Sus scrofa: one gene and its partners. The main gene of each other region encodes a partner of the protein of the gene in region 3 in a complex. Links are inferred from orthologs where the notes say so. Each region holds a gene or a part of one and is shown on either strand. Other genes may lie near its edges. The genes, in order: INTS6, INTS2, INTS1, INTS9, INTS7, INTS4 and INTS12.

Region 1 (3,235 bases), on a different chromosome or scaffold from region 3:
TTGTGGCATGTTGAAGTCCCTGGGCCAGGGACTGAATCTGAGCTGCAGCTGAGGCAATGCCAGATCCTTAGCCCACTGTGCCACAGTGGGAACTCCTTAGATCAGTCTTGAACAACATACGAGCTATGTAAGATTTGATTCTTTATTCAGCTTACAAGTACTGAATATCTGCTGTATCCAAAGTACTGTGTTAGGCATGGGAAGGAGGAGGGGCTGAGAGCAGAGGAGGAGCACATGGATAAGTTACACACGGGGCCTCCCATGACGGGAAGCCATAGTCTCGTGTATTCTTCCAACCAGCAACTGGAATTTTAATGTAACAGCAAACCCAAAAAGATTTAGTCAATTTTAAATGACTTCATAGCTGTGACATTCCTGGCGGAGAACCTACACACCATCTTAACTTTTAAGATTTAAACTATAATAGTGATCAGGGATATGTTTAAGGCCAAAAGCTAAAATTACGAACGCTATTATCTCAGTACAAAAGAACTCGATGAGGTAAAATTTCAGTATTGTTGACTTCATTCAGAAGATGCTGACAGATCACCTGCTCTGATGGTCTAGTGACCCAGGCGTGGTCCCTAAGTGCATAAGACTCAGTACTTGCCATTCAGGAGCTCATAGTCCTTGGCAGAGTTTTAAGGGAAAACCTGAACTGAGATAGCACTCTTAACCTGTTTTGTTTTGTAATGTTTTTTTCCTTTATTTTATCCCCCTTCCCCACTGCAGGATGGCTGTAATTTAGAATTTAAGCTTTAAGGATAGATTTTTGTAAAGGCCACTTCTTATTTTTAGTGGCACTACCAGAAAGCTATTTATTCATCCTTCTAAACTTTATGCTTAATACCTTAACAAGAACTGTTACCAAAAAAGCAGTATTTAACAAATTATTTTATCTTTGTTGACATGTGATAAAATATATGTATTGTAAAATCTCTAATGAGCAGTGAAATTTTATGTAGACTGTTTTTGGTTTTGTTTTAGTATATTTTGATCTAATAAATTGCAATAGAAAAATACTGAATTAGAGTGCAAAGGAAAAGCCACTTAATTTTTCCGTTTGCTTCTCTTGTTTTAAGAATATGAAAGAATCTTCACTTTACTGAAGCATGTGCAAGGCAGTTTACAAACAAGACTAATATTTTTACAAAATGTCATTAAAGAAGCATCAAGGTAAATAATCTGTTGTACACTCTGATATGGTGAAATGAGCCCCCAGTTTATATAGTTGATATTTTAACAGTGTCTATTTTATACTTGTTATGAATGTATATGACACACCATGTGTATATAAGCACTTCTCTCTTCTTTTCAGTTTATTGAAAAAATAGCCACAGACAAATTCTCCAGAAATCATGGACCCTTTCTCCCTACACAGTATATAGATACTTGCATAATTCTTCTTAATTGTACTCTGTGGCTTTTTGGTGTCTTTATATTTTATAGTCTTTAATTTTTCTCCTTTGTATATTTAAACTACAGTTAATATTAATTAGTGATGAAAAATAACCTTGAAAGGCAGTATCTGAATGCAGTTCACTTGTACGTGGGAAAACATGTAATTAAGGGGACCAGAGCTGGACAAATGGGCCTTATTCTGATCGCTTCAGTAGCCCAGGGTTATGCGCTTTTAGTACAAGGAATGTGGATCAAGATTATAAATGGTAACTCTGAAGTGCAGTTCACTGGAAAGCATAGTTGTATGAGTTTAGAAAATAAAAAGACTTCTAGAATTTTTAGTAAGAAAACTTAGAGCTTATCTCATCTGACCTTCCCAAATTCCCACCCTTTAACAAGTAACCCAGTTTCTTCCATGCTACATGTAGTCTTTTTAGATAAAGCCATTATTTTCCCCCCCATGAATGACTAGAACATAGGTTACTTTGAATTTTCAAGATAAGGCCATAACTTTTCGTATTATTTATTTTGAGTATTTGACCTAGTCTGCTCTTTATGTAACATTCTGTCAGCTCGTACTTCATCACAGATTTAGCCGTATTCCTGGTGCCTGAATTCTATGTCTGCCACCTTGCCACCTTTTAGAGAGTTGTGTGGTATTATGGTGGTTAGTCATATTCGTTTGCAAGTAGAGAGGAAGTAAATATAGATGGGGCAGTGTTTTGGGCATTCTGAAAAGCATCAGAAGTAGTAATACTTAATGTAGACAAAAGCAGTTTCAGTCTACTATATTCATTACTAAAATTTTTAAATTTCCACTTGAACTTTACTTTAACTCTTTACTGTATCCTCTACTAGAGACCTCTCATTGTCCTTGATTTGCTAGTTAAGTTGTAATAATAGAACGCCATGGTTTAAATGCGAGAGCCCAACTTTCATTTCTTCCATTTTATGGGGGAATGTATTCATATTTTGTTCACATTCCTTTTTTAACATTCAGCTTTCAAAGAGCATGAGAAACTGCTTTTGGGAGCCCAGATTTCACTGGAATATTTATTTATATTTATAACTCTTGTATTTATTAGGGTTTCTCCCCCTTTTTCTTTTTGCTTGTGAAAGGAATAATCTCTTTCCCATTATAACTAGGGCTAGACTGTTTGTTTTAGGTACAAACTTATAATACTGTACTGATAACATAATTTGCTAATCTTCCAAAAGATTTTGTATATCACTTTGAAAAATCTTCCCAAGGTAGTTTCTCTCTTTAAAGAAAATTATACTGACATATAACTATTTGTTTAAAAAGAAACTGAGAGCTTTGTTACTTCATTTTTTTACAGGTTTAAAAAACGAATGCTAATAGAACAACTGGAGAACTTCTTGGATGAAATTCATCGAAGAGCCAATCAGATCAACCACATTAACAGCAATTAAAAGAAAACAGAATGTGGCCACTTATTTCACTACCTTCTCCAAATACAAAGTAAATACAAGACTGTTGTGATCTTGCATTCATTTTTTGACATGCATTGTTGGCTTTTTGAAATACTAAGAGCAAGTCTACAGATCCTTTTTCCATCATTTTACAGTGACCTTTTCTTCATTTTGGTTTATTTTTGTAATGTGAAAAGTATCACTCTAAAAAACATTTTTATTTAACAAACTAAAAATACTCCTCCAAATCTCTTGCTTGTCATTGACTCTTGCGTGTCAATTTCCCTCAGGTTCTATTTTCTTAAACCAACCTTTAAAACTGTCACCTCTGTTAAGGTTGAACTTTGCCAAAAAAATAAAAAAGAAGTTACTTTGTAATTTTTGGGGAAAAAGCACATAC
Region 2 (4,013 bases), on a different chromosome or scaffold from region 3:
CAAGGAACATGGGTGCTCCTTTAAATCCCTAAGTCTTCTAATTTCTAGAAAGTCATTTACTGGGCAATAACTTATGTAAAAGCACCTATGATGCCTGAGACTGGTTTTTTTTTGTTTGTTTGTTTTTTCTTTCTTTCTCTTTTTTTTTTTTGTTTCCTGGCTAAGTCTGCAGCATGTGATGGTTAGGGATGGAACCTGAGACACAGCAGCCACCCAAGCCGCTGCAGTGACAACGCCAAATCCTTAACTTTGCTGCACAAGAGAACTTCTCCTTTTCTTTTTAAATTTTTAAAATTTATTATTTTATTAAAGTATAGTTGATTTACTGTGTTGTGCCAGTCTCCTTTTCTTTCTTTCCCAACCTGATTGAAAATTAAGGTAGAAAAGAATAAATCAAAGCCATTCAGGGGTGAGAATGTTCACTTCATCCAGGACTTAGAGTATAGGAACTATATAACACATTTCATCAAACAAATATAAGACACCAGTAATTGTAAAACATTATTTCATGTACCACTAAGGAAAAAAATGCTGTACATACATATATACATACATGTATACATACATATATACATATATTCTTTTTTGGTGTGTGTGTGTGTGTTTCAGGGCTGCACCCATGGCACATGGAGGTTCCCAGGTTGGGGTCGAATTGAAGCTGTAGCCACCGGCCTACGCCAGAGCCACAGCAACGCGGGATCTGAGCCGCGTCTGCGACCTACACTACAGCTCACGGAAACGCCGGATCCTTAAGACCCACTAAGCGAGGCCAGGGATCGAACCCACGTCTTCATGGTTCCTAGTCGGATTCGTTAACCACTGAGCCAAAACGAGAATTCCTTGATGACTTTTTAAATTCTTCTACAAACCCAGGATTCCAGAACTTTGGTGCTGGAAGGGCACAGGCAGAGATGGAAAAGAAATGTATGCAGTCTGATTCCTTTCGTGTTCTGATCAATGAACAGTGGGGACAACTTTAACATTCCGTTTCCATACTAATGTACGTATTCATTTGAACGCCACGGTAGTCCTGTGACGATGAAACTGCACTTCGTAAGGACTTAATGATTTACCTTAAAAAGAGTCAGCTGGTAGGGTCTGGAAAGGAGACTGAAGACAGCTAGCAACCTGCTAAATCTTCTCGAGTGAACTTGGCAGAGCAAACCAAGGGGGAGGAAGGGGTGGGGCCGCGCACGCGCGCCGTTGCCTCTGAGCGACGTCTGCGGGTTTCCTTTCACAGCCAGCCACTCTTCCTCTCAGTCCAGTACGGTGGCCGACCGGAGCCAGACGCTGGGGATGAATGAAGGTGCTGTGTGCAGGTTGAAACGGTCTGCTCTGCTTTCCTCTCCCTTCAGTCCGGGCTCTGCCTTTGTGCAGGGTCCGCATCCAGCCCCTATCGCACCGCCGGACCAATGGGTTCTGGCGTCTGGGTTTTTGGTGTCCAGGTCGACTCAGGGCACAGCTAGGGTTGGGGAATCCGGATTATCGCCTAGGCCCAACTTCGGACCGCGCTCTCGATTTCTACCGCGTCCCGCCTCTAGAGCGTGGAATCCGGGTGGGGTCCCGGGAGGTTGGAGGGTAGATCTTAAGGTATGAAGCTTCCGCTTCTCAGGCTCTTAGAGCGTTCCGAGGTCCGTGTCCGCCACCGGCCCGACTTTTCTCAGCCAGAGGAACTGGTTGGTTCTCTTTACGCCCAGGGCGAGACCTATGAGCACACAGGTCTTGACGCCTCTGCTCTATCAGCCCGCCCCTCTGTTAAAAGGCCAGCTCCTCTTGCTAAAATTAAAAGCAAAACAGCATTTCTGCCCACGACTCTTTGTTATTTACGATTCTGCAGTTTTGTGGGTCTCAGAGGGGATGGCTTTGGCTACCTGCTACTTGCTGTTTTGTTTCTGATTACTCTTGAAGACAGAAAAGTGCCCAAGTGGGACTCAGCTTTCTCCCACAGCTAATTGCACCTCCACAGCTGTTTTGTTTTTGTTTTTGTTTTTTTAAACTTAGGAACACAGGAGGTATGGCATACTGTTTTTGTCTCCAGAGCGTTGAATCTGGCATTGCTTCTGGCTAGTGAGGCTATTTAATAGTGGTTCCACCGACTCGTGGAGGGTGGGAAAGAGAAGTCTAACAGTGCTTTACGGATGTTGGGTAGGCATGTGAAACGAAAGAGGAGCGTTCTTTACTATGCTGATCTTTTACTCTACGTTGTGGCACTCATGACTGGTATAGTGGAGAAAATATTGGACTGGGTTTTAGTAGATGAGAGTTCAGCGTTAGATTTTGCCACTGACTAGTAATACTACTCAGAGCCAGTTACTTAGTCCCTCGGGGTTTCATATTCCTTCTTTGCAAAATGGGAGTATTACAACAGAAGATCCCCAAGGCTGGAAGAGACGTTAATATACTCTGTTTTCTTTCTCATTTTCCAGATGGCAATAGAAACATAGGGAGCCTTTAATTGTGCCAGGAATATTGCCAGCGACTAGTCCTATTAACAAGAGACCACATTTTTCAGAGTTGTTAAAAAGAGAGGCATTCATGCATGTGGAGTTATACCCCTACTTTCTCTTTCTTTTCTTTTTCTTCATCTTCTTCTTCTTTTTTTTTTTTTTAACCACTAGGATCAACTGTGATAATGACCGAGTGTACAAGCCTTCAGTTTGTCAGTCCTTTTGCTTTCGAAGCAATGCAGAAGGTGGATGTTGTTCGTTTGGCATCTTTAAGCGATCCAGAATTAAGACTTCTCCTGCCCTGCTTGGTGCGGATGGCACTTTGTGCTCCTGCTGACCAGAGCCAAAGCTGGGCTCAGGATAAAAAACTCATCCTTCGTCTTCTTTCTGGAGTAGAAGCTGTCAATTCCATTGTTGCATTGTTGTCTGTGGACTTTCATGCTTTAGAACAGGACGCCAGCAAAGAACAGCAGCTTAGGTAATGTAATATCTAATCTGTGGCTTGGTATTTACTTGGATTTGCTAAAACAGAAAGAATCCAGTATTTTTATTTGTAATTAAAATTCTATGATCTTTTGAATTCCATCTTATAAAATGTTGTGCTGAGAACTTTGTGTGCACTTTGTATTCAGGGTAAGTCCTTAGGCCAGTTACTTTCAGTGGGAAAAGGGTGGGATAAGTTCCTCTGGAGTAGAACGATTTCCTGAAATCTCTTGGGAGGCTTTTTTAAGCTTACATTGATTCCCCCAAATTCTGGGCATATATTTTGTCCTTCTTTGCCTGTTGTGAAGCCAGTAGTGAGCCACTGTAGTTAATGAAAGTGGATATTAACTGTCAGTTGTGATGGAGTCTTTACATAGGTTGTAAATTCCTGAAATAGATGAACAACCTGAATAGGATTTTAGAAGTAATCCATTTATGAAGTATATGAAAAGAATTCATGCATTATTTTGTAGATGATGGTGATTATTTTTTATGGCCATACTCGAGGAATATAGAAGTTCCTGGGCCAGGGATTGATACCAAGCTGCAGCTGCTTGAAACCAAGCTGCAACTTCAGCCTTCTCCATGGCTGCAGCAGTGCCAGATCTTGTAACCCACTGCACTGGGCCAAAGATCAAACCCATGCTCGGTGACCTGAGCTGCTGCAGTCAGATTCTTAACCCATTGTGCCACAGCGGGAACTCCTAGATTATTTTTATGAGGTAATTTTCACCCTGTCATTTCTGTGCCAGTGTTTTTATAAATGTTGTGCATGTTTGTACTTTATCAGGCATAAACTTGGAGGAGGCAGTGGAGAGAGCATCCTGGTATCACAGCTTCAGCATGGACTGACTTTAGAGTTTGAACACAGTGATTCGCCTCGTCGCTTGCGTCTTGTGCTTAGTGAATTGTTGGCAATTATGAACAAGGTACATTTATTTTAACCACAGCTCAAAATATACATGATTTGATCTCTACACTTAGAAGGTAGAAGAAACAGGCCAGAAGGCAGCCAGGTTGCATCCTCTTGTACAATATTTCTGTTTTTTATGTAAGTGTTATCCTTTCAGAGGCTCAAAAAGT
Region 3 (3,500 bases):
CCGCCCCGCCACCCGGCGCCCCCACCTGCTGCAGAGCCAGGGCGGTGCTGGTCTTGACGCTGTCGAACAGAGGCAGCCGGGGCAGGTCCCGCAGCAGCCACTGGTAGCCCTGCAGCGTGTCCGAGTCGCCCGAGTCCTCCTCCAGCGGGGGGTCCTTGTCCTCCCCGTCCCGCAGGCTGCCCTCTGAGAGCACCAAGGACAGGCCCTGCGAGCAGACAGGCGCTGGGCCAGGCCCTCAGCCAGGGGCCCGCCTCCTCCCGCATGGCCCGGGGAGGGCCCGCCCGGCGTTGCCACGAGCCCAGAGCAGAAGCAGCCCAAGCCAGCTTCCCTGCAGAACTGTCACCAGCACCTCGGAGATGCGGCAGGACAGCTCCCAAGTCACCCTCAGGGAGTCCCCGTCACCGCCCAGGGAAGGGCCCACAGGGGAAAGGACTCTGGTTCCTGTGGGTTCTACTGGGTCCCCTCCATGACTGAAGATCCGCCAGAGTAACAGGGAGGAAGCCTCTCCAACACAACAGAGAGGACCACGGCGGGGGCAGCCAGCCAGGCCCGGGCTCACCTTCATGGCCAGCACCCTGGAGGCCACCTGGGAGGAGCCGAGGCGCCGCAGGAAGTAGTCCAGCACCTCACACGTGGTCTGCTCGTCGGCCCTGGGGCCCAGCAGCAGGTCCTGCAGGCGGCCCAGCAGCTGCCGCTGCTTCTGCTGCCTCTGCAGGAACAGGCGACCTCAGGCGGGCCTCAGGGCTGGGGCGGGGGGAAGGGGCATCGACCTGCCCTCCGCAGGGACAGACGACCTGAGGCCGGCTGCCGGGCCCGCGGGAGTGGGGTGGGGTGGGGGGCGGGGGAGGCACCGACCTGCCGCTTCTTGGCCTTCTGCTCCTTGCTCTCGCCCTCCTCCTCCTCCTCCGCAGAGGCGGGCTCGTCGGCAGCATCGTGCAGCAGGAACTCGCACAGGCACTGCACGGGCAGCACGTCCAGGGAGCCCTCGCTGGACTGCACCAGGTCGGCCAGCCAGGGCATGGACTGCGACGAGGCCTGCACAGGGCGGCGTCGCACGGCTCTCTCCGGTTCGACCTGCCACGGCCCCTCCCGACCCACCTGCCTGCCACCTGTGGGGCCCTCCCGTGGCAGCCCTGTGTCCCACGTGCGCACCCCGCCAGCGCCCCTCTGCCCCAGCCGCTGCGGACTCGCCTGCCTCTGGATGATGTTGAGAAGGAAGTCCGGGTTGCGGCTCCGGCACAGCAGGTGCCCGAGACGGAGGGACTGGTTGAGGCTTTTCACCTGATCCAGGATGTGGGGGGGAGGCCTCCGGGGGGGCCCTCTGAAAGTCCCAGACGACACGAGTGTCTGAGTCACAAGGGCAGTACCCCCAGGGATGGCAGTGGGGGAGGGAGGGTGGAGGGCGGGGGGACCCCTGTGAGGACTGCAGCCCTCCCCCTAGGCCGGCCCAAGGCTCTCAGTGTCACCTGAGCCCTGGCGCAGGGAGAACCAGGACAGCGGTGGCCTTGGCCTGGGGCTGCTGCTCCACACCGCCCCCTCCGTGCCCAGCCCAGGCCCGGCGCGCAGCTCCGCGCAGTGCAGTGCGTACTTGGGGTCCAGGCTGGTGAGCTGCGACAGGAGGAGGCTGCTGCTCTCGGTGATGGTCTGCTTGGTGGACGCGGCCGCCAGGTGCCCCTCGAAGGCCAGGATCTCCTGCTTCTCCCGCTGGGAGATCTGCAGCTCCCGACTCATCATCTCCGCCCGGGTCTCCTCGTCCGTCAGGGTGCACGGCGGGTACGAGTAATTGCTGGGGCCGAGCAGGGAGCGTCTCAGCAGACAGCACCCGAGTGGAGGCATCAGAGCTCGCGCGCTGGCCCACGCCCGGCTTGAGCCGTCAGGCCACAGGAGGGACCCTGGGGTCGTGGGCCATGGGGTCGAGGCCAGACCTCTGGGAAGCAGCTGGGCATCCCGCAGAGCCCGCACCTGGCCATCAGGAGCCTGGACCCAGAACGGTATGCCCAGCGTGCCCTCCTGGGGATGTTGCCAGCAAGCAGGTGGTCCAGGGCACACTGGGAGCCTCATCCAGTCCACACTGGCAACTCCTGTCCAGGGGACATTGGGAGCTCCCCACCCAGGGCACGCTGGGTGCTCGCAGACCGACTCGAGGCTTTCTGGGACACGAGCGGCCAGAAAGCTCCCACATGTTCCGAAAGCCACCCAGCTTCCTGGGATGGCCACGAGGCTGCCCGCAGATGCGCGAGGCGGTGGCCGTCTGCAGCCTCTGGCCGCAGGCACCCAGTCCTCCCACGCTGAAGCCGATTGCACGTGTGTGGTCACATGCCGGTTCACATTACAACTCCTCGGGCTCTGCCCTTGGCCACCGCACTGTGGGGCGACCCGCGTTGTCCCTCTGAGAAGCGCAGACGGCCCGCACCCGCCCCGTCCTGGCATCTGGCACGGCTGTGCACACAGGCCCCCACGACTGCTGTCTGCGCTCCTGAGGAGCAGGTGCGGCAGGCCTGGCGCCTGGCGCCCACCCCGGCCAGAGGCGGTCCCTGCTGCTGGGCCCAGGCCGCGTTCCCACCCGCCTGGCCGTGTCGCCATCCCGTCACCCCGCCTCTGGCTCCGGGACCCTCTGCTCTAGCCCTCCTACGTCACACCGTTGTCAGCCCGACCGTCCCCACGCCCGTGGTGGCCTGAGCGTGGCGGAGGATGGCCTGGGCCCCGCAGCCCCCGGCGCCGCCTCATCCCCTCCCTGCCCCGCGCGGCGAGGGGGCGGCACAGCAGGAGGGAGAGGCCGCGGCCGCGGCGGCCACTCACTTGGTCATCACCATCTCCATGAGCATCTTCAGCGTCGGGTACTCCTCCCAGGCGGCCAGGCCTAGGGCGCAAGGGGACAGCAGGTGGCAGCGGGGAGCCCCGGCCCGAGGCCCGTGCCCTGCCAGCTCACCACCCAGTCCCAGCCCGGCGCTGCTCCGGTCCTCCCAGCCCGCTGCCCCTAAGGCGGCAAGGGGACCGCGCCGGCCACAGGGGCTCACCGATGTTCTCCGGGTTGAAGGCAGCGACCACCAGCAGGAGGGGCCAGGCCTTCCAGTAGAGAGTGGAGATGGCCAGGTTCGGAGGCTGGTACCTGAAACGCGAGGGGTCGAGCGCTCGGCCTCGGCGCACAAGCCCACGATGGGACGGGTCAGGGCCAGGGCAGCAACGGCTCAGATCCGCGTGTGGGCCTCAGTCACCCCCCTCTGCGGCCTGTGCCCCCAGGAGGGCACGGCGACCACCACACTCACTCCGCGGCCGGGCGCCCAGCCCTGCGCTCTGGGCATGTGCCCCCCGCTGAGCCCGCCCCCGCCTGTGAGCCAGCAACAGGGCAAGGTAACACGTGTCCAGTGGGGTTCGTCATCGTCGCCAGAAAGCCCAACACCGCGGTACCTGCCGCACGGGGCTGTGCCAACGCGCAGAAACCACACGCCAGGCAACCCTGGCTACCACTGGAGGCCGTTCAGAGGATGAGAGAGAAAGGG
Region 4 (3,931 bases), on a different chromosome or scaffold from region 3:
CGTCTACAGTGCTCCTACCCTGAGTTTGGGGTTGGGATGTGTCCCTGGGAGGATGGGAGAAGGAGTGTGAGCGGGCGATGGGACACAAACGACTTGCTCCCCACGGCCACCCCGCGCCGCGGCGCCAGCCCAGAGGTCCAGGACCCGCACCTCGCGCACGCTTCTCCGCCCAGGCCCAGCTAAAAGCTCCGACTCCGTCTCCCGAACTTCCTCTCTAGAGACATTTATTCAAGGCTAACACATCACCCAAGTACACGTCACCCAGTTTCAAATACAGTTCTGCACCCCAAACAAACCCACACCTCAAATTCCCCTCACAGTTTCCCAAACTCCAAACAAGAGACCCCACCTCCAGGATTCAAACCTTCCGCCCACCAAGGAGGTAACCAGGAGGAAAGAGTTAGGGAGCAGCCGACGCCTTTCCATTTTCGCCCCCCACAAACTGCCCCACCCCAGACCCTGCGTCCGGGTCACCCCCCTCGGAAGCCCCACGCTTCCTCCCTCCTCTCAGTCGGGCCGCCTAAGAGACCCACCCCCGGCCCACTCACTTTCTCTCCCAAACCCCTCCAAAAAGAAAAAAGAAAAAAAGTGAAGAGAAAGAAGTGAAGAAAGAGACTTGAGGGAGCCCGCCTTCCAAATCGCTCGACTCACCTCAGAATCCTTGCTGAGTTCTCTCCGCCCGGCACAGCCCCCTCCCCAACGTCCCAGTACGAAGGGCTGAGGTAGGGAGGAGGGGAAAGCGGGAGGGGGAGGGGTGTCTTCCGCGTGGGGCGCCCGTCGGGAGGGGACTGGGGAGGGGTTGAGGCCGGCGCAGGAAGAGGAGAAGGGGGAGGGGAGGCCCCTATCTCCCAGTCTCCCCCTGAAAACCTCCCTTGTCTCAATCACATCAGACTGACTGTCTTTGTCTGGCTGACAACCGCCATATTGATATCAACAGCCCCGCTCCCACCTGCTGCCGCCGGGCGGCCCTGGGAGTTGTAGTTTCTTACTCCCTCGAGTAAAAGCGCGGGACTCGGCGCCCGGAGGCCCTGGGGGACTACAGCTCCCGGCAAGACCTGCGCCATTCGCCTTCCCACAGGGAGGAGGGGAAAGGGGCGCCAGAGTCGTAGGGACTACACATCCCAGAATACCGTGGGCTCTGGGCCCAGACAGGGGACATGATATCATGCTGGGATGGAGAGGGAGAATGATTTGGCGGCGGGGAAGAATTTGAGCCGAAGGAAGGAGGAAAGAGAGAAAAAGGAAAGATGACCACAGTTCCCATGATGCAAGAAGACAGGACTACATTTCCCATGATGCATCCGGAAGGGGGCGTAGGGAAGAAAGACTGCATGTCCCGCGATGCTCGAGGCTGGCGGGTGGCGGAGATTGAACCGGAAGAGGCTTTCTGGTTCTGAGGAGTCCAGTGACTGATATTGAACAACCTAAAGTCCAATATGAAATTGGTGAGTCTCTGCTCCTAGGTCAGAGGGCAAAGGTGATGCCATATCCTTTTGGACTTCGTCGTTTCCAACTTGTGGTGGGAACCGTCGCGGAAGAGGGGTGGCAGTTAGAGACTTAGAAAGTGGGGTGAACCAAGGAAAGCTGCTCCTTGTGGTTGAGTTTGAATCCCACCTCCCACCCCCGACCCCCAGATCTTATTTATCCCTTGGCGGCTCCTGTGGTTAGATAAGAGATTGACTCTGTCACCTTACTTCACACACGAACTGAGGTTGGGCTTTATGAACTAGGTTTGACTGATTTCACAGCTGCCATGTGAGTTTTATAATTGGTTAACTTCTTTCCACGCGATTGGCGTTTGATTAGCGTTTCTTACAGTTTTTGAAAAGGCTTTGGTTACATATGAGCAGAGTTTAGAAAATATTGGGCAGAGTAATCACTTAAGTTTTCTGTTATAGACTCCTAACTGTCTTTGATATTCAGAGAAGGACGAGATCATGGTATGGTATGATCGTGGAAGATTTAAGTTTTAAACCCTGTATAATATGGTTTAAGTGTCAAGGCATTCAGTCTAGGGCTGTAGGGACTGTATGAGCCAAGATTAGATGGAGCCTGCCAGGATACCTGGAAAATTCTCTGCATCACAAAACTCAAAACACTTGGCTTGTAGGGAGGCTGCTCAGGCCTTTATTTTGAGCCACGTTACTCTGTGTGCACACAGATTTAGCTACTTTAACTAGTTTATTCCAACTGTATGGTATTAGTAGAAAAGCAGGTGTGAGATGCTGTTTCTCAACCTCTTAAAATTCGCATTCCTGCAGCCAAGTGTTGTAAATCTTTACTTTCCTGTAATTTTAGTAGAAAAATAAAATGTGCATTTTCTTAATTGTTTGAGCATGCTTTTCCAAAGTGTGCAGCCCAGGCTGGTGCCTGCACACACACGCTAAGGGCCTGTGCTCTTCAGAGTTTCAGCTGTTTTCTGAGGAGTCAGAGAAATAGAAGTAGATTCAACACTAAAGCTGTTTAGGTAAGGAGAAGGACACAGATCAGTAAACCTTGAGGATATCAATTTGCTTCTGGGTCAGTTTTCAAGACATGTAAAAATGCCAAATTGAAAGTCACCACCCATATCCAAAAGAAGTGTGCAATGAAGAAGATACAAAAGTAATAAATGATATTTCACTGTTTTCATGGTAAATGGAAGCATGTTCAGTGTTTAGGGATTTAGAGGATGATGGGGGTTGGGGGAGTGGGAGACAGCTCTATGGAAAGGAGACTCTTTAACAGTTAAGCAAGGTGAGTAGGCTAGGGCTTTCCTTGAAGAGGGTTCAGCTTTAGAAGCAAAAGAGCTTTGCACCTGAGTGCTTGAAATAAAGACCATGTTTTCTTGATAAAGGATAAATCACATTTGGTATGTATGCTCGGTGCAGAGGCAGGAAAATGGAAAACAGTTCTTTTCCATAATAGCTCATTTGCTGAGGGTATCAGAGAGTTAGGGTTTAGTTTACATATGCTTTGGTTTGCTTATGAAATCCTCCTGCTTACCTCATTTAAAGAAGATAAAAAAGGGGGAAAGAGAAACTATTTTTCTTTCAAGAATCATAAAATGCCTTAGAGGAATAAGGTAGTTGATGATTCTGTGAGAATATCTATTGACACAGCAAAGTGTTTCAAGAACACTGACACTCAGTAAGCAGGCTTCTTTTTTGTATCATGCCTCCCATAGAGTTGGAATAAATTTTCCTAGGGCCTAAAAATTTTTAACTTTGTGTACTGCTTCCTGAATATGTGATAAACCATGTTTTGTATTTCTATCATGAAACACAGAAATATTTTTTATAGAGTACATTCTTGTTTTGGAGATTATGACTTCCCCAAACACCCTTCCCACGTACAATCTATGACCATATCTTGGTGATTCTGCAGTTCTTAAACTGGTCTGTTTCTCTCCAGTACCACCAATACAGCCTTTGTAGGGGCTCTTTTCACTTGACACTTGAAATTCAACAAAACCTTCTAACTGGTCTCCCACCCTCAAATCCATTCCCTACTCCATGCCCAGAAGTTGTTTTAAATTGCAGTGTTCCTTTAAAACCCTTTGGTAGCTTCCTTTGCCCTTAGGATAGTCTTAAAATTATTTTTTTGTTGTTCTGTTTTAGAGTTTTGTGGTTTTGGGGTTTTTATTTTTTATTTTTGGTTTGGGAGGGGTTTTTTGGCCGCACTTGCGGCATACAGAAGTTCCTAGGCCAGGGATCAGACCCAAGCCACAGCATTGTCAATGCTGGATCCTTAACCTGCTGAGCCACAAGGGAACTCCTTAAAATTCTTGACTTGACTTGCTTGATCCTGTAGATTCTGGCCCTGCTGACTTCTCCAGGCTAATGTCTAGCTCTCCTCTCTTGACCTCCTTGTTCCGTTTGTATTGTATGTCTTTCAGTTCCTTGAAGTCCGCCTGCTCTCTTTTGCCTCTGGGACTTTAAGTGTGTTCCAT
Region 5 (3,500 bases), on a different chromosome or scaffold from region 3:
CGCGGCTCGGATCCCGCGTTGCTGTGGCTCTGGCGTAGGCCGGTGGCTGCAGCTCCGATTGGACCCTTAGCCTGGGAACCTCCATATGAAGTGGGGGCGGCCCAAGAAATAGCAACAACAACAACAACAACAACAAAAGACAAAAAAAATTAAAAAAAAAAAGACTATGCCAGATCCTTTAACCCACTAAGTGAGGCCAGGGATTGGTTCATGAGTGAACCCGAATCCTCACGGATACTAGTCAGGCTTTTAACCCACTGAGCCACAATGGAAACTCCAAAGGCAATCTATTTTTGAGAAGCTAATTTAGGTCCCTAACGAGCTGACTTTATACTAATCAAAAAGGAGATTATTCTGGGTAGATCTCGCTTCATCAGTTGAGTTCTTTAAAAGAGGGCCTTGAAGGTAAGAGATTCCCCTGCTGGCCTTAAAGTTTCCTCAGGTCTTACAGCTGTGAGGAACTGAATCCTGCCAACAACTGCATGAGTTCAAAAGAGGACTCTTGAGTCCAGGCTTCACACAAAACTGGCTCTGAACAACACCTTGACAGTAACTTCGTGACAACATGAGCAGAGGCCCCAGCGAAGTCACACCTGGGCCCTTGGAAACCGTAAAATAGTAAATGGGTGTTGTTTTAAGCCACTAAATTTATAGTAATTTTTTACATAGCCCAGAAAGCTAATATGAACGCTTTTTATAATTTATATTCCTAAGAAGCAAGATAACACCAGCATTAATCACTGTATGGGGAAATTCAGACACCCAACACTGCTATAGAGTCCCTCTAAGCATGGAATCTTTAACTTCTGTTTGGCTTGGCTGAAGTAGGTAAAAATACAGTCCTCACAGCTGAGTCTCGGGTCAGCTCATTCAGGTGTCAAGGAGTGAGAGGGTGAGTCATGCTCACACCATCTCGATTAAAAAGGGGAAAGTCACCATCAGGTCCTCACTTGTCAGAGAGATTTTTTAAAAATCTTGCGGAAATCCCGAGAGTGCGGTATACTCAGAACTGAGAGAGGTTCCAAACAACAGTAAGGATCAGACTGCCTCCCCCCCCGGATTCTTCTCAAGCACATCGTCATCTCTGGACCTCTTTTTTGACTCCTCAAAGCAGGGTTTGGCACATAGCCAGTGCTCACAGTCTGCTGAATAAAGCAACTCCGTTTTAAGAGGTGATCTGAGGCCCAAGAACCTGCCTTAGGTCACATGGCGCGAACGGCTGAACGGAGACGGACACAAGGGCCTTCTGACAGCCCACTGCGGTCCTCCTACATCAGAATCCAGCCCTTACCTACTGCCAAGCCTCCTTAAATACTGAGAGCACACAAACCATTAAATGACCATTAAATGTGCAATGGAGTTTTTCTTAATATTAATTGCATCTGCCTCACTGTTCTGTGAATCTCTCTCTCAGTTCTTACCACTTACTGCACCACTTACTGTTAAACCATTAACAATTTTTTGTTCCACATAAATTAGAAAATAGAATAATTCTACTGATTGGCGCCAACAACTATTCTTTGACTTTCTGAGCTATTTATTAGCTTGAAATAGGCAACAACAAACTCTTACGAGTTTTGATAATCATGACGAGAGAATCATGTAGTTAAAGTTACCCCTTAAAACGGTGAGGAGCCATTCCTACATTCCTGTTTTTTGTTTTGTCTTTTTCCTTTTTAGGGCTGCACCTATGGCACATGGAGGTTCCCAATTCCCAGGCCAGGGGTCGAATCGGAGCTCCAGCTGCTGGTCTACGGCACAGCCACAGCAACTCGGGATCTGAGCTGCATCTGTGACCTACACCACAGCGCATGGCAACACCGGATCCTTAACCCACTGAGCAAGGCCAGGGATCAAACCTGCGTCCGGATGGATACTAGTCGGGTTTGTAACCCACTGAGCCACACTGGGAATGCCCTATATTTCTGTTCCAAAACAGCCATCAATCAATCCCAGCTCCCTCCAAAATCATTCTTCAAAAGATGTGTATCCACAGCCATCTGAACAGTCTGTCTCTTCGGTGACGTCTGTTTATTCTCTGTTCTACTCTGAAGCGTTTCTTTCTGGATACATTACATTTATCTAATGTAAAAAGACAGTTTACATTATGTGATAAGTGAAAAAGGTAGATACACAGGTACCCAAAGTTTTACGGCCCTATCTAAATATATACAATTTTTAAGGTTGTGTGACAATGCTTTAAACGTGTTCAATGGTGATTAAACTCTTTACTCTTAAGGGGAAAAAGTCCTCACATTAACAGAGAAAAGGCTCATTTTAGGGAACAGGCTCTTATTTAGGATTATAACTAGTTTCAAGAAAATGTTAAGGATCTGATCTCTTTTTCTTGGTAGAAAAAAATGGAAAATACAGCTGGTTGTTCATTTGGAGTAGAGGGTATCACCAAGGGGTAAAAAGTGATCACTTGCTTTTTATTTACAAAGCAAGAAGCTCTAGTTTCTTAGTGAGTAGCCGCCAGTGATGGGAAGGGCTGGGTCTGGCGGCAGCAGCGACCCAGGCTGCGGTCTTCCCAACAGCAGTCTGGAAAGGGAGCATCCTACCTCCGCTAATTCTTTCTGCCTGGACTGTGCAATTCCCCTCCACGTGTCTATCGGACACTTGATAAAAAACCAAATGATAAATGTGCATCAACCCATGAACGTTAAAAAGTCGGGCAGGGGTTCATGACCTACCGTCACGTCCTACGTCTTATTTTAATACTTCCAAATACATACATATTAGCAGGGTTTTCAAGGTGAAAACGGGACAGCCCCCGGAAGCAAAGGGACACCATCCTCACACAAGCCATCACCGCCCAAGGAAAATGAGGAAGACTCACTGTTAAGGAAGCAATCCCTTTGTGGTAGAATTTCAGGGACTCAGCAATGCAAGAAAGTGCTGAACTAGCGTCGTCCTCCTGCAGGCCGGTGAGGCACTGCTCCGCGTGTGAGAACTCCTTCAGACTGTTGAGCCAGAAGTGGAGATGCTCCGAGGCGACCTGCGTCAGCAGGCTCTGGTACAGCTCTCCGGCCATGTCGTGACTACCCTGAAAGAAAGCCGGGAGGGCCCAGGATGAGGGTCTTACCCTTGAACCAGCTGCGGCAGCACCTCCAACAGAAGCCCAAACCTTGGATACGTTTTAGCGATCGTGCCTCCCGCTCTGTAACTCCGAGGGACTCGGTCTCCTATTTCTCCCGAGAAACCATGCCGAGCTGCTTTGCTGTAACACACGCCTGAAGTTCTTTAGCCACACAACAGCTCCGGAGAGAAGATAAACGCAATGAGCTACAACCCGAGGCGAGCCATGTAGTTCCAAACAGGCCCTTCCGCACGAGCTGTTCAGTGGTGTGGGGAGAACCCCAGCCACTTTTCCTCCAGTGGTGACCGGGGGAGGCGAGGGAGGGGGCTGAGTGCCCTGTGAGGCCGGGGCGATGGATGCCCAGGGTCCTGCTGCAGCTGGAGGCGTGGCACAGCTGAGGATGCGGGCGCAGCGGCGGCCT
Region 6 (4,125 bases), on a different chromosome or scaffold from region 3:
TCAAGAATGAGAAATATATGGTCTCTTGTGTTTTGTTTTTATTTGGCCACACCCATGGCATGTGGGAGTTTCCAGGACAGGGACTGAACCCAAGCCATAGCAGTGACAACAGAGGATCCTTAACCACTAGGCCACCAGGGAACTCCATGAGGTCTCTTTATCTTTTATCCAAGAAGGAGTCCTTGCTCCTGCCATATATATATATATATTTCTTTTTACAGCTGCGCCTGTGGCATATGGAAGTTCCCAGGCTAAGGGTCTAATGGGAACTGCAGCTGTGCTCTATGTCACAGCCACAGCAACACTGGATCTGAACTGCACCTGCACCTAAGCCGCAGCTTGAAGTAATTCTGGATCCTTAACCCACTGAGTGAGGTCTGGGATTGAACCTGCATCCTCACAGAGAAAAGGGTGAGTCCTTAACCTGCTGAGCCACAATGGGAGCTACTCTTATCATAATTCTTATCTTGAAGTATTTGTCCGCAGGGGACAGATTCCAGTTGCTCAGCCTGGACCCCATCTATCTCCAGCCTCACAGGAACAAAGGAAGGGCAGTCAAGACAGTTCAGTCATAAAAAAGTCCTAGTTCCTCTTCATGGGACATACCTAACAACCTGACACAAATCTTTTGAGTTTTGTAGTTAGTGCCCCACCCAGGTGGAGGACAGAATATTGATGTTGACCCTCTTAAGTCAACTAAAGCTTGAACTCTGTAGACCTTCGCCCCAATTCTGTGCTGAATTCTCCTCTGCTCAAGTGCCTTCATGAGTATGAATGTGCACGCTCCTTAGCTTAAGACTTCCTCAGTTTTGCTATTCAAAGAGACACCACTTTGGTAAAGATCCCTGGCATTCTTATTTGCTCCAAGTAATAAATCCTTCCTTCTTCCCCTCTTCGGCTCGGCTGTATCTTCTGGCTCCACACCCACCAAGGGGCGAACCCAGTTTTCGAGTAACAGCTTGACCAATAGGAGTGCAAGGGACACACAGACAGCCGACAGTGTCAACAGCAAAGGCTGATGGGAAGGTCAGCTTGCCCTCGCTCCCTCAATTCCAGAGGCAACAGCTTAAAGCAGCTCCAGGTTTTGCCTCTACCTCAAGATAGCTCCGCCTCTGCCCTTTCACCCTGTAGTACTTCCTCCCCCGTCTCCCTCCCTCCGCGGCGGTCCCGCCAGTCTCTCCGACGCCGAGACCGACCGCATGCCCCAGGACGCTCCCATTGGCTCCTCCAGGCAGAAGCCCCGCCCCCACGCTGCTATCTCGCTCTCCTTCCTCGGCGAACGCGGCGTAGGCGGCCGAATACAGCCTGGCCAAGGCAGAGCAGTAGAGCAGCAGGAAGCGGCCTCTCTTTCCGGGAACCCCACTGCCTTGTGGGATCGTGGCTGGTTCCTCCGGTCTGGGCCGGTTTTCCCGAATTCCTCCGCCCCGCCTCCTCGTCTGTACGGAAGCTGAGAGGGTCCGTGGGCAGCCATGGCGGCGCACCTGAAGAAGCGGGTGTACGAGGAATTCACTAAGGTGGTTCAGGTAAGCCCTGGAGGGAAAAGTCCCGGAACCCATTTGGGGTAGAGGAAGATTATCCGCGCCCCAGGCACTTTGCCAGAACGAGCGCCACAAAGCTGGGCTGAGTGCGGACTGCTTTGATAGACTGGACTACACTTTAGTGGGCGTGTTCGTTCGCCTCTGCTGCTTGTCATTATTAACATGTGCAGTCTGACACTACAGAAAATTTACAGTTTACAAAAATATATTATTCGTAATCTAATTTTATTCGTAGTACATCAGCATCTTCATTTTACAAATGAGGACTTTGAGGCTTCTGGAGGGGTGCGTGGACACAGCCAATTAGTGGCAGATTCTCTCCCGACTCCCGTTACAAAAAAAAAAAAAAAGCGCGCCTAAGGACAAGGTAGCTGTATGCGAAACTCCAAGAGATTGGAAGAGGAGTTTAAAGTCCTCGAGACTCAGATCAGGCGAGGGTCACAGGCTTTATAGGGATAGAACTTTCTGTTGATGGAACAGTTCATCAAGGAAGGAGGGCAATACCTTTTTCGTTTGGAGTTGTTCACGGACTGGTGGGCCAAGCCCCTGTCAGCAGCCAGTGATTCTCCGTGTATTTCCTCATTGATATTCCTAAAGTAGAGTTCGATATCAAGTCATACCTCATGTTGTGCTTCTCAGGCTTTGTGTATACAAATCACCTGGGGGTCTTGTTAAACTGTAGATTCTACTCACTAAGTAAATCGGGCGGGAGAGGTGAGGCAATAATCTGAATTTCTGACGAGCCCCCAATTGATGCATCCTTAGAGGCATAAGCTTGTAGAGTAGCAAGATTTAGACCATGCAGCAAGACACTGATCCTTAAGCATTTAATTTTTTCCTTTAGCAAAAGTTTATTGAGTAAAAGAGTTGTTATTGTGAGAGTTCCCGTTGTGGCTCGGCAGAAACGAACCCAACTAGCATCCATGAGACGCAGGTTCCATCCCTGACCTCGCCCAGTGGGTTAAGTAAGGATCCCGCGTTGCCATGAGCTGTGGTGTAGGTCGCAGATGTTGCTAGGATCCTGCATTGGTGCATAGGCCTGCAGCTCTGGTTTGACCCCTAGCCTGGGAACCTCCATGTGCTGCAGGTGCAGCCCTAAAAAAAAAAAAAAAAAAAAAAAAAAAAAGTTGTTACTGTGTATTAGGTAAATGGAAAGGTGCTGAGCTACAAAGTTCAGTGCACATTAAGTTCCATGTTCTTTAGGAGCTCACAGGCTGGTGGGAGATAGGGAACAGTATGTCTGTGGTTATAGTGCCAAGAGGTGATTGCATGAACAAATCAAGTCTGCCTCTCTCTTTTGCAACTACTCTTTATAGAAACTCCCTAGCCTTTATTATTGGACAATGTTCCTTCCAGCTGTATCACTGCCTTTTTTTGTTTTGTGGACACTTTGTGGCATATTCCCATTGTGTGTAGGGAATTGACTAACTTCTTATTCTTGTTTTTTCTTAAAAAACCTGACACGTTTTTGTTGACTCTTTTTTTTGCTTGTTTTTTAGGGCCACACCTGCGACATATGGAGGTTCCCAGGCTAGGTGTCGAATCAGAGCTACAGCCACAGCCACACAGGCTCCGAGCCGAATCTTTGACCTACACCACAGCTCATGGCAATGCCAGATCCTTAACCCACTGAGCGAGGCCAGGGATCAAACCCACAACCTCATGGTTCCTAGTCTGATGCGGTTCTACTGCACCACAAGGGAAACTCCGGTTGACTCCACTTTTATGTGAAATTAGTTTTCCTGAACTTTTAGAATGAGTCAGGATTCAGGAAAGCTTTTTGACTTCAGAGCTCCTTCTATGGCTTGCCTTTTAGGATTTCCTAACTCTGTTTCCTTGGGCGCTCTTAAAAAAATTGTGGCAAAATATACATACCAAAATTTACCGTTTTAACCATTTTTAATTGTACAGTTCAGTGGCATTAAGTGCATTCACTTTATTGTGCAGTGTCACTTCCTTTCTTCCAAACATTCTGTTGTTCCCACTTACCAAGACTACTCACCCCTCCTCCAACATGGCTAGTGTTTGCACCTCTCCAAACTTTTGTATCTGTTGTTTCTCTCTCTTTTTCTGGCTGCACCTGAGGCCTATGGGAGTTCCTGGGCCAGGGATTGAATCCCAGCTGCAGCTGCAACCCGTGCTGCTGCACCACAAGAGAACTCCTATAACATTTCTCTTACGTTGTGATCTTTTTTATATCTACCCACCAGGGCCTTACATAATCCCTGGAGTGACAGGTTCCCTTTCACGTGGACTTTTGGGCACTCATTCCATGCATCAAATATATCTAGATTGGTTCTAATTATGCATCATCCTTGGGAGAATTGAGAAAATAGTCACTTAGCTAATTGTATGTTTTCTGTGGTTCACACGAGGATCCCTGACTGAGAAAGACTGGTAGTAGGTCATCATTCCTATTTTACAGATGATAAAACTGAGAACCATCGCTTTGTCTCCAGGTGGCTTTTTTCCTGATTCATAGCACTGCTTTTTGTTTAGGCTAGGTCTGTCACCTAAATACATTATTTGCTATAGGGAAAACTATTTCCATCAGATGGGGCAAAGTTAAATTTGCAGTCTCTGTGTT
Region 7 (4,181 bases), on a different chromosome or scaffold from region 3:
TTCCTAGATAAGCTTAGAAAAATGTAAACATACTCTACCTTTCTTAAATAATTTAGCACAAGATCTATTATTAAATGTTGGCAAGAACTTATGACAAGGAATGGGCTCCCGGCATTAAGAGATCATGACCTTAAGAGTATCGGCGGAGTTCCCATTGCCGCGCAGTGTAAATGAATCTGACTAGTATCCATAGGATATGGATTCAATCAGTGGGTCGCAGATCCCACCTTGCCCTGAGTGGTGGTGTAGGTCACAGACTTTGCTCGGATCCTGAGTTGTTGTGGATTAGGCTGGTGGCTATAGCTCAGATTCCACCCCTAGCCTAGGAACTTCCATATGCCTAGACTGTGGCCCTAAAAAGCAAAAAAAAAAAAAAAAAAAAAAAAAAAAGGGGGGGAATAAGGGGAAAAGGAGTTCCCGATGTGGCTCAGCAGTAACGAATCCGACTAGTGTGCATGAGGACACTAGTCTGATCCCTGGCCTCAGTGGGTTAAGGATCCCATTGCTAGGGCTGTGGTGTAGGTCGGCAGCTGTAGCTTCCATTGGACCCCTAGTCTGGGAATTACCATATGCCAAGGGTGTGTCCCTAAAAAGCCGAAACAAACAAACAGTCACCTAATCCCAAACCAAGTAGAATTGGTGTGGGAAGTACGTGTATTAGTAAACGTTTCTGAAGTAAAAGCAATTTTCATGCAAGTTAAACCCAAACTTTCTATAGGAGTTTAAACCAAAGTGAAACGCTACTTTGATGGTAGTGCAGAAACAAATCGCCCAAAATGTAGGGGGTTCTTTGGAGCAACTGTTAGGTAGTATTCACATACTACTGCTTTCTCCAATGAGGAAGGGCTGGAATAGAAAACTCAGTAGAAAAAAAGATAAAAGTTAAAAGAGTGACCCAAGAGGTCTTAACTACACTTAGCAGCAAATGGCGAACGACCGAACAGACTGCTGCAACTGGAAGCTGCTCCTTTCCCCTTCAGTAAATGAAGCCATGGGGACTGGCCCTGGAAAAATTGCGAAGGGGCCCGGACCCCTCCACTCTTCCCGCCCTTCTTCGCATCGTCAACCCTGCCGGTCCCTGGATGAAAGAGGAGTCTTTGCAGGGTCTTGAGGACTGAGGAGCCGGCGGCGCGAGCGCCCTCCTTACCTGGTCGCAGAGGCGCGGCCAGGCAGGGAGGGTGCGTGAACGTGTCAACACTGGCCGCCAGCGCATTCCCGCCCCGCCCGAGCCGGGTTTCCCGAGGTCGCTTTAGGAAGTCTTCGCCTGCAGACCGCTCGCAGCTCCACGCGGCAGGGAAAAAAACAACAGAAGCAGCGCCGGGGAAACAGCAGCACCTGCCGTCATTCATAATCCGGCGCACCGGAAGAAGGTGGTTACGTCACTTCCTCCCGTCGCACAGTGAAAACGTTCCCCAGTCGACCCTGCTGCGGGAACTTTTGTTTTTCCGCTCTCCCGGCGGGCTAGTGCTGGGACCTGTTCGTCAGGCCACCGGGAACGGACGGAGCAGCGGGGCGGAGCGGTGAGTTGCGACGAGCCCCTCGGTTCCCAGCCGCCTCTGGGAGGCTTGAGACCTCCGCGAGGGGTGAAGTGGGACGGTAGTACTGTGCGGTCTTAGTTTCCTCGCCTCTTGTGAGGAAACTCATAATTTGCAGGCGGTCGAATGCCCAGTCTGACCATTCTCCCCTTACAGTTGGGGTCGTGCTTCCCCCGAAGGTTTTGCAGGCTGGGGTCAGCGGACCGAGGTTACAGCCCCAGGGATTGGGACCTTGGAACCCTGTCTCGGACCTTCCTCGGAAGGTTTTGGCGACTTCTCTGTGCAGCTCCCTCTGCCTCCTCTCATCTTCATTGGGCTCACTTGTCAAGACCCTTCCCGATGTTAGGCCTTCGGTGGGTCTTGCCTTTGATCAGAAGATTGATATTCCTTTTCTGAGTGTCGTTTTTCAGATTTTCTGTCGGTTGGTTGGTTTGGAATTAGGTTCTTTCCGCCTGTTGTCGTTTCCGGATGTGTGCCTAAGGTCATCAGTGTAATCCAGGGCCAAGATCCAGGAGGAATAAAAAGGGCAGTATCTTTAAAAGGGTATTTATTAGGATGAGTTGCATGAGTTTGCAAAGGGCAAAGCTTTCTAGAGCCGTTATTGAGGTGGCAACCCCAATATTGCACTCTGCCTGAATAGGTTCAGCTTCCTTCATCTCGTGCACGTGAAACTCCAACTTTGGACTTCTTTTAATGTTAGCTTGTAAGATAGATAATGGGATCTAGAGGAAAGCATATATTTATATATGAATACCCAATTTAGGTTGGAGAAATCACAGAAGCCCTAGAAAGTGACATTTAAAAAAACCCTAGTGCATTCACTCAACAAATATTTTTGAGAATATGTTAAATTCCAAGCACTAGGTATGTAACAGTTCTGAATAAAAGAATTCCCTTCTTGCATGGAGTTTACAGTCTAGTGGGGTTAATGAATTTAAATCACATGGAGGATTGGGTAGAGAGTAATGCAGATAGGAACATTGTACAAATCCCATGTCATGAAAAAGGTGTTTTCTGCTTTGTATTGTTTTTGCTTTTTTGATATTTGAGGGCTTGAGGTGGGATTGGGGGTGGGAGGAGTCTGGAGGGTGGTAATAGCTTTGAGTTTCTTTTTTGTTGCTTATTGCAGAGGGACTTTGGAAATGATTAGAATTGTGTAGAAGGAAAAAAACTATTATCCTTTGATCTCTAATAATTCTTTGGCCATTATTTTTTGGTACTTTACAAAATACAAACGTGATGGTAAAAAGATAGCCTTTCCCCTTAAAGTAGTCAGAGATTTATAGAGAATATAACAAATGTGCAAAAAAAAGAAAACAGAAAAAAAAAGACTGTGGTTCAAGGTAGAAAGTTCCAGTACCTTGAGAATGCACTCCAAGATTTCCCAGGGGAGGGCAAGATTATTATTATTATTATTTATTTATTTATTTATTTATTTATTTTTGTCTTTTGTCCTTTTAGGTCCGCACCAGCAGCTTATGGAGGTTCCCAGACTAGGGGTCCAGTCGGAGCTGTAGCTGCAGGCCTCCACCACAGCCACAGCAACGCCAGATCCAAGCTGCGTCTGCGACCTATACCACAGCTCACAGCAACGCATGATCCTTAACCCACTGAGCGAGGTCAGGGATTGAACCCGCAACCTCATGGTTCCAGTTCAAATTCGTTTCCACTGCGCCACGACGGGAATTCAGCAAGATTATTAGTATTATTGGGTGAGTAGGGTCCTCATCAGTACCCTCATGGGTCTTGATAGGATATGGAAATATGAAAATGGGTAAAAAAGCTCTCCAGACAGAAAAAAAATTGAGAAGTAGCAAGTCCAGCTAATGATTCTGGTCTATGGGAGATCTGGAGATGAAGAATTAGTTTTTGTGCCAGTTATTGAGTCTTTTTTTTGGGGGGGTGCACACCTGAGGCATATGGAGGATCCCAGGCTTGGGGTCGAATCGAAGTTACAGCTGCCACATTATGCCACAGCCATAGCCACACAGGATCCAAACTGAGTCTGCAACCTACACCACAGCTCACAGCAACACCGGATCCTTAACCTGCTGAGCGAGGCCAGGGATCAATCCTACAACCTCATGGTTACTAGTCAGATTAGTTTCCACTGAGCCAGAATGGGATCTCCTACTGAATCTTTTTAAATGCTAGGCCAAGAAGTTAGGCTTTATTTTAAAGGGAATGGGAAGTCTTAATTTTTGAGGAAGAAAGGAAGCAGGGAGGGAGGAAGAAGAAGGAAGGGAGGGAGGAAGGGAGATAGGGAGATGTGTTAACAGGAACATTAATATGGCAACAGTATTGAAGTCCAAGACAATCACTAGATTATTGCTACAGTGCAAAAAGCTGATAAAGACCTGAATCTGAGTAGTAGCAGTGGAAATGGAAAATAGCAACAAATGTGAGAAATGTTGAAATATAGGAATTGGGGAGGACTCAGGCAAAAATGTAGGCCTCAGGCCTGATTAACGGAGAGTATGTCATTTATTGAAAGAAAGTGCGGAACAAGGAACTTTGGGGTAGGAGATATTCATAATCTCAATTTCAGTCTTTATTGAATTTGAGAAACCATTGGGACAATTAGGTAGACATGTCTACTAAGCAATTAGAAATATGGGGTTTGAGCTTAAGAGAGATCTGAGTGGG

Evidence for each region.
Region 1: INTS1 (region 3) and INTS6 share a complex: the UniProt entries of both Homo sapiens proteins name them as parts of the integrator complex. The link is inferred for Sus scrofa from reciprocal best matches to the Homo sapiens genes INTS1 and INTS6.
Region 2: the proteins of INTS1 (region 3) and INTS2 are in contact, whole or in part, in a cryo-EM structure (PDB 8RC4), measured with the Homo sapiens proteins. The link is inferred for Sus scrofa from reciprocal best matches to the Homo sapiens genes INTS1 and INTS2. Residues at the interface, in NP_001073922.2 of Homo sapiens: Gly561, Ile562, Ala563, Trp564, Asp565, Lys566, Gly567, Ser982, His1055, Met1056, Thr1058, Pro1060, Glu1095, Arg1096, Thr1098, Ile1099, His1102, Leu1107, Arg1225, Ser1250, Phe1251, Gly1252, Ile1253, Tyr1285, His1288, Glu1291, Val1292, Gln1293, Glu1295, Arg1296; in NP_065799.2 of Homo sapiens: Pro40, Leu54, Lys69, Leu72, Arg73, Leu75, Ser76, Gly77, Val78, Glu79, Val81, Asn82, Val85, Gly125, Thr127, Leu128, Glu131, His132, Glu166, Val172, Tyr173, Glu176, Arg322, Gln325, Gln326, Arg329, Gly400, Lys402, Thr769, Met772.
Region 4: INTS1 (region 3) and INTS9 share a complex: the UniProt entries of both Homo sapiens proteins name them as parts of the integrator complex. The link is inferred for Sus scrofa from reciprocal best matches to the Homo sapiens genes INTS1 and INTS9.
Region 5: the proteins of INTS1 (region 3) and INTS7 are in contact, whole or in part, in a cryo-EM structure (PDB 8RC4), measured with the Homo sapiens proteins. The link is inferred for Sus scrofa from reciprocal best matches to the Homo sapiens genes INTS1 and INTS7. Residues at the interface, in NP_001073922.2 of Homo sapiens: Leu1378, Gln1381, Gln1382, Gly1385, Gln1386, Ala1389, His1429, Phe1430, Leu1431, Cys1433, Pro1434, Arg1437, Gln1438, Cys1440, Gln1441, Pro1476, Ala1479, Gln1480, Met1483, Leu1484, Gln1487, Arg1552, Pro1554, His1555, Leu1556, Glu1557, Glu1558, Pro1613, Ser1614, Gly1616; in NP_056249.1 of Homo sapiens: His150, Asp151, Leu187, Ala188, Thr189, Pro190, Val191, Lys194, Thr223, Ser224, Tyr225, Pro226, Ser227, Thr228, Asn262, Asp263, Pro264, Arg265, Lys266, Pro303, Tyr304, Gln349, Glu350, Cys352, Tyr353, His354, Asn355, Arg357, Ala360, Gln384.
Region 6: INTS1 (region 3) and INTS4 share a complex: the UniProt entries of both Homo sapiens proteins name them as parts of the integrator complex. The link is inferred for Sus scrofa from reciprocal best matches to the Homo sapiens genes INTS1 and INTS4.
Region 7: INTS1 (region 3) and INTS12 share a complex: the UniProt entries of both Homo sapiens proteins name them as parts of the integrator complex. The link is inferred for Sus scrofa from reciprocal best matches to the Homo sapiens genes INTS1 and INTS12.

Annotation. Positions count from the first base shown.
Region 1 is NC_010453.5:16,462,276-16,465,510, forward strand, and holds part of INTS6 (integrator complex subunit 6), read left to right. Parts: intron 1-1,082; coding exon 1,083-1,176; intron 1,177-2,741; coding exon 2,742-2,835; 3' UTR 2,836-3,235. UniProt on the Homo sapiens protein: Component of the integrator complex, a multiprotein complex that terminates RNA polymerase II (Pol II) transcription in the promoter-proximal region of genes.
Region 2 is NC_010454.4:36,433,180-36,437,192, forward strand, and holds the start of INTS2 (integrator complex subunit 2), read left to right. Parts: upstream 1-1,213; 5' UTR 1,214-1,300; coding exon 1,301-1,319; intron 1,320-2,618; coding exon 2,619-2,925; intron 2,926-3,720; coding exon 3,721-3,859; intron 3,860-4,013. UniProt on the Homo sapiens protein: Component of the integrator complex, a multiprotein complex that terminates RNA polymerase II (Pol II) transcription in the promoter-proximal region of genes.
Region 3 is NC_010445.4:992,085-995,584, forward strand, and holds part of INTS1 (integrator complex subunit 1), read right to left. Parts: intron 3,110-3,500; coding exon 3,018-3,109; intron 2,861-3,017; coding exon 2,800-2,860; intron 1,787-2,799; coding exon 1,589-1,786; intron 1,322-1,588; coding exon 1,192-1,321; intron 1,036-1,191; coding exon 856-1,035; intron 710-855; coding exon 560-709; intron 206-559; coding exon 26-205; intron 1-25. UniProt on the Homo sapiens protein: Component of the integrator complex, a multiprotein complex that terminates RNA polymerase II (Pol II) transcription in the promoter-proximal region of genes.
Region 4 is NC_010456.5:12,689,641-12,693,571, reverse strand, and holds the start of INTS9 (integrator complex subunit 9), read left to right. Parts: upstream 1-1,131; 5' UTR 1,132-1,436; coding exon 1,437-1,445; intron 1,446-3,877; exon of another isoform or gene 3,878-3,931. UniProt on the Homo sapiens protein: Component of the integrator complex, a multiprotein complex that terminates RNA polymerase II (Pol II) transcription in the promoter-proximal region of genes.
Region 5 is NC_010451.4:131,331,030-131,334,529, reverse strand, and holds part of INTS7 (integrator complex subunit 7), read right to left. Parts: intron 3,047-3,500; coding exon 2,840-3,046; intron 1-2,839. UniProt on the Homo sapiens protein: Component of the integrator complex, a multiprotein complex that terminates RNA polymerase II (Pol II) transcription in the promoter-proximal region of genes.
Region 6 is NC_010451.4:12,429,471-12,433,595, reverse strand, and holds the start of INTS4 (integrator complex subunit 4), read left to right. Parts: upstream 1-1,325; 5' UTR 1,326-1,469; coding exon 1,470-1,523; intron 1,524-4,125. UniProt on the Homo sapiens protein: Component of the integrator complex, a multiprotein complex that terminates RNA polymerase II (Pol II) transcription in the promoter-proximal region of genes.
Region 7 is NC_010450.4:116,030,483-116,034,663, forward strand, and holds the start of INTS12 (integrator complex subunit 12), read left to right. Parts: upstream 1-1,381; 5' UTR 1,382-1,520; intron 1,521-4,181. Other genes in the region: GSTCD (glutathione S-transferase C-terminal domain-containing protein), read right to left, coding at 1,148-1,349. UniProt on the Homo sapiens protein: Component of the integrator complex, a multiprotein complex that terminates RNA polymerase II (Pol II) transcription in the promoter-proximal region of genes.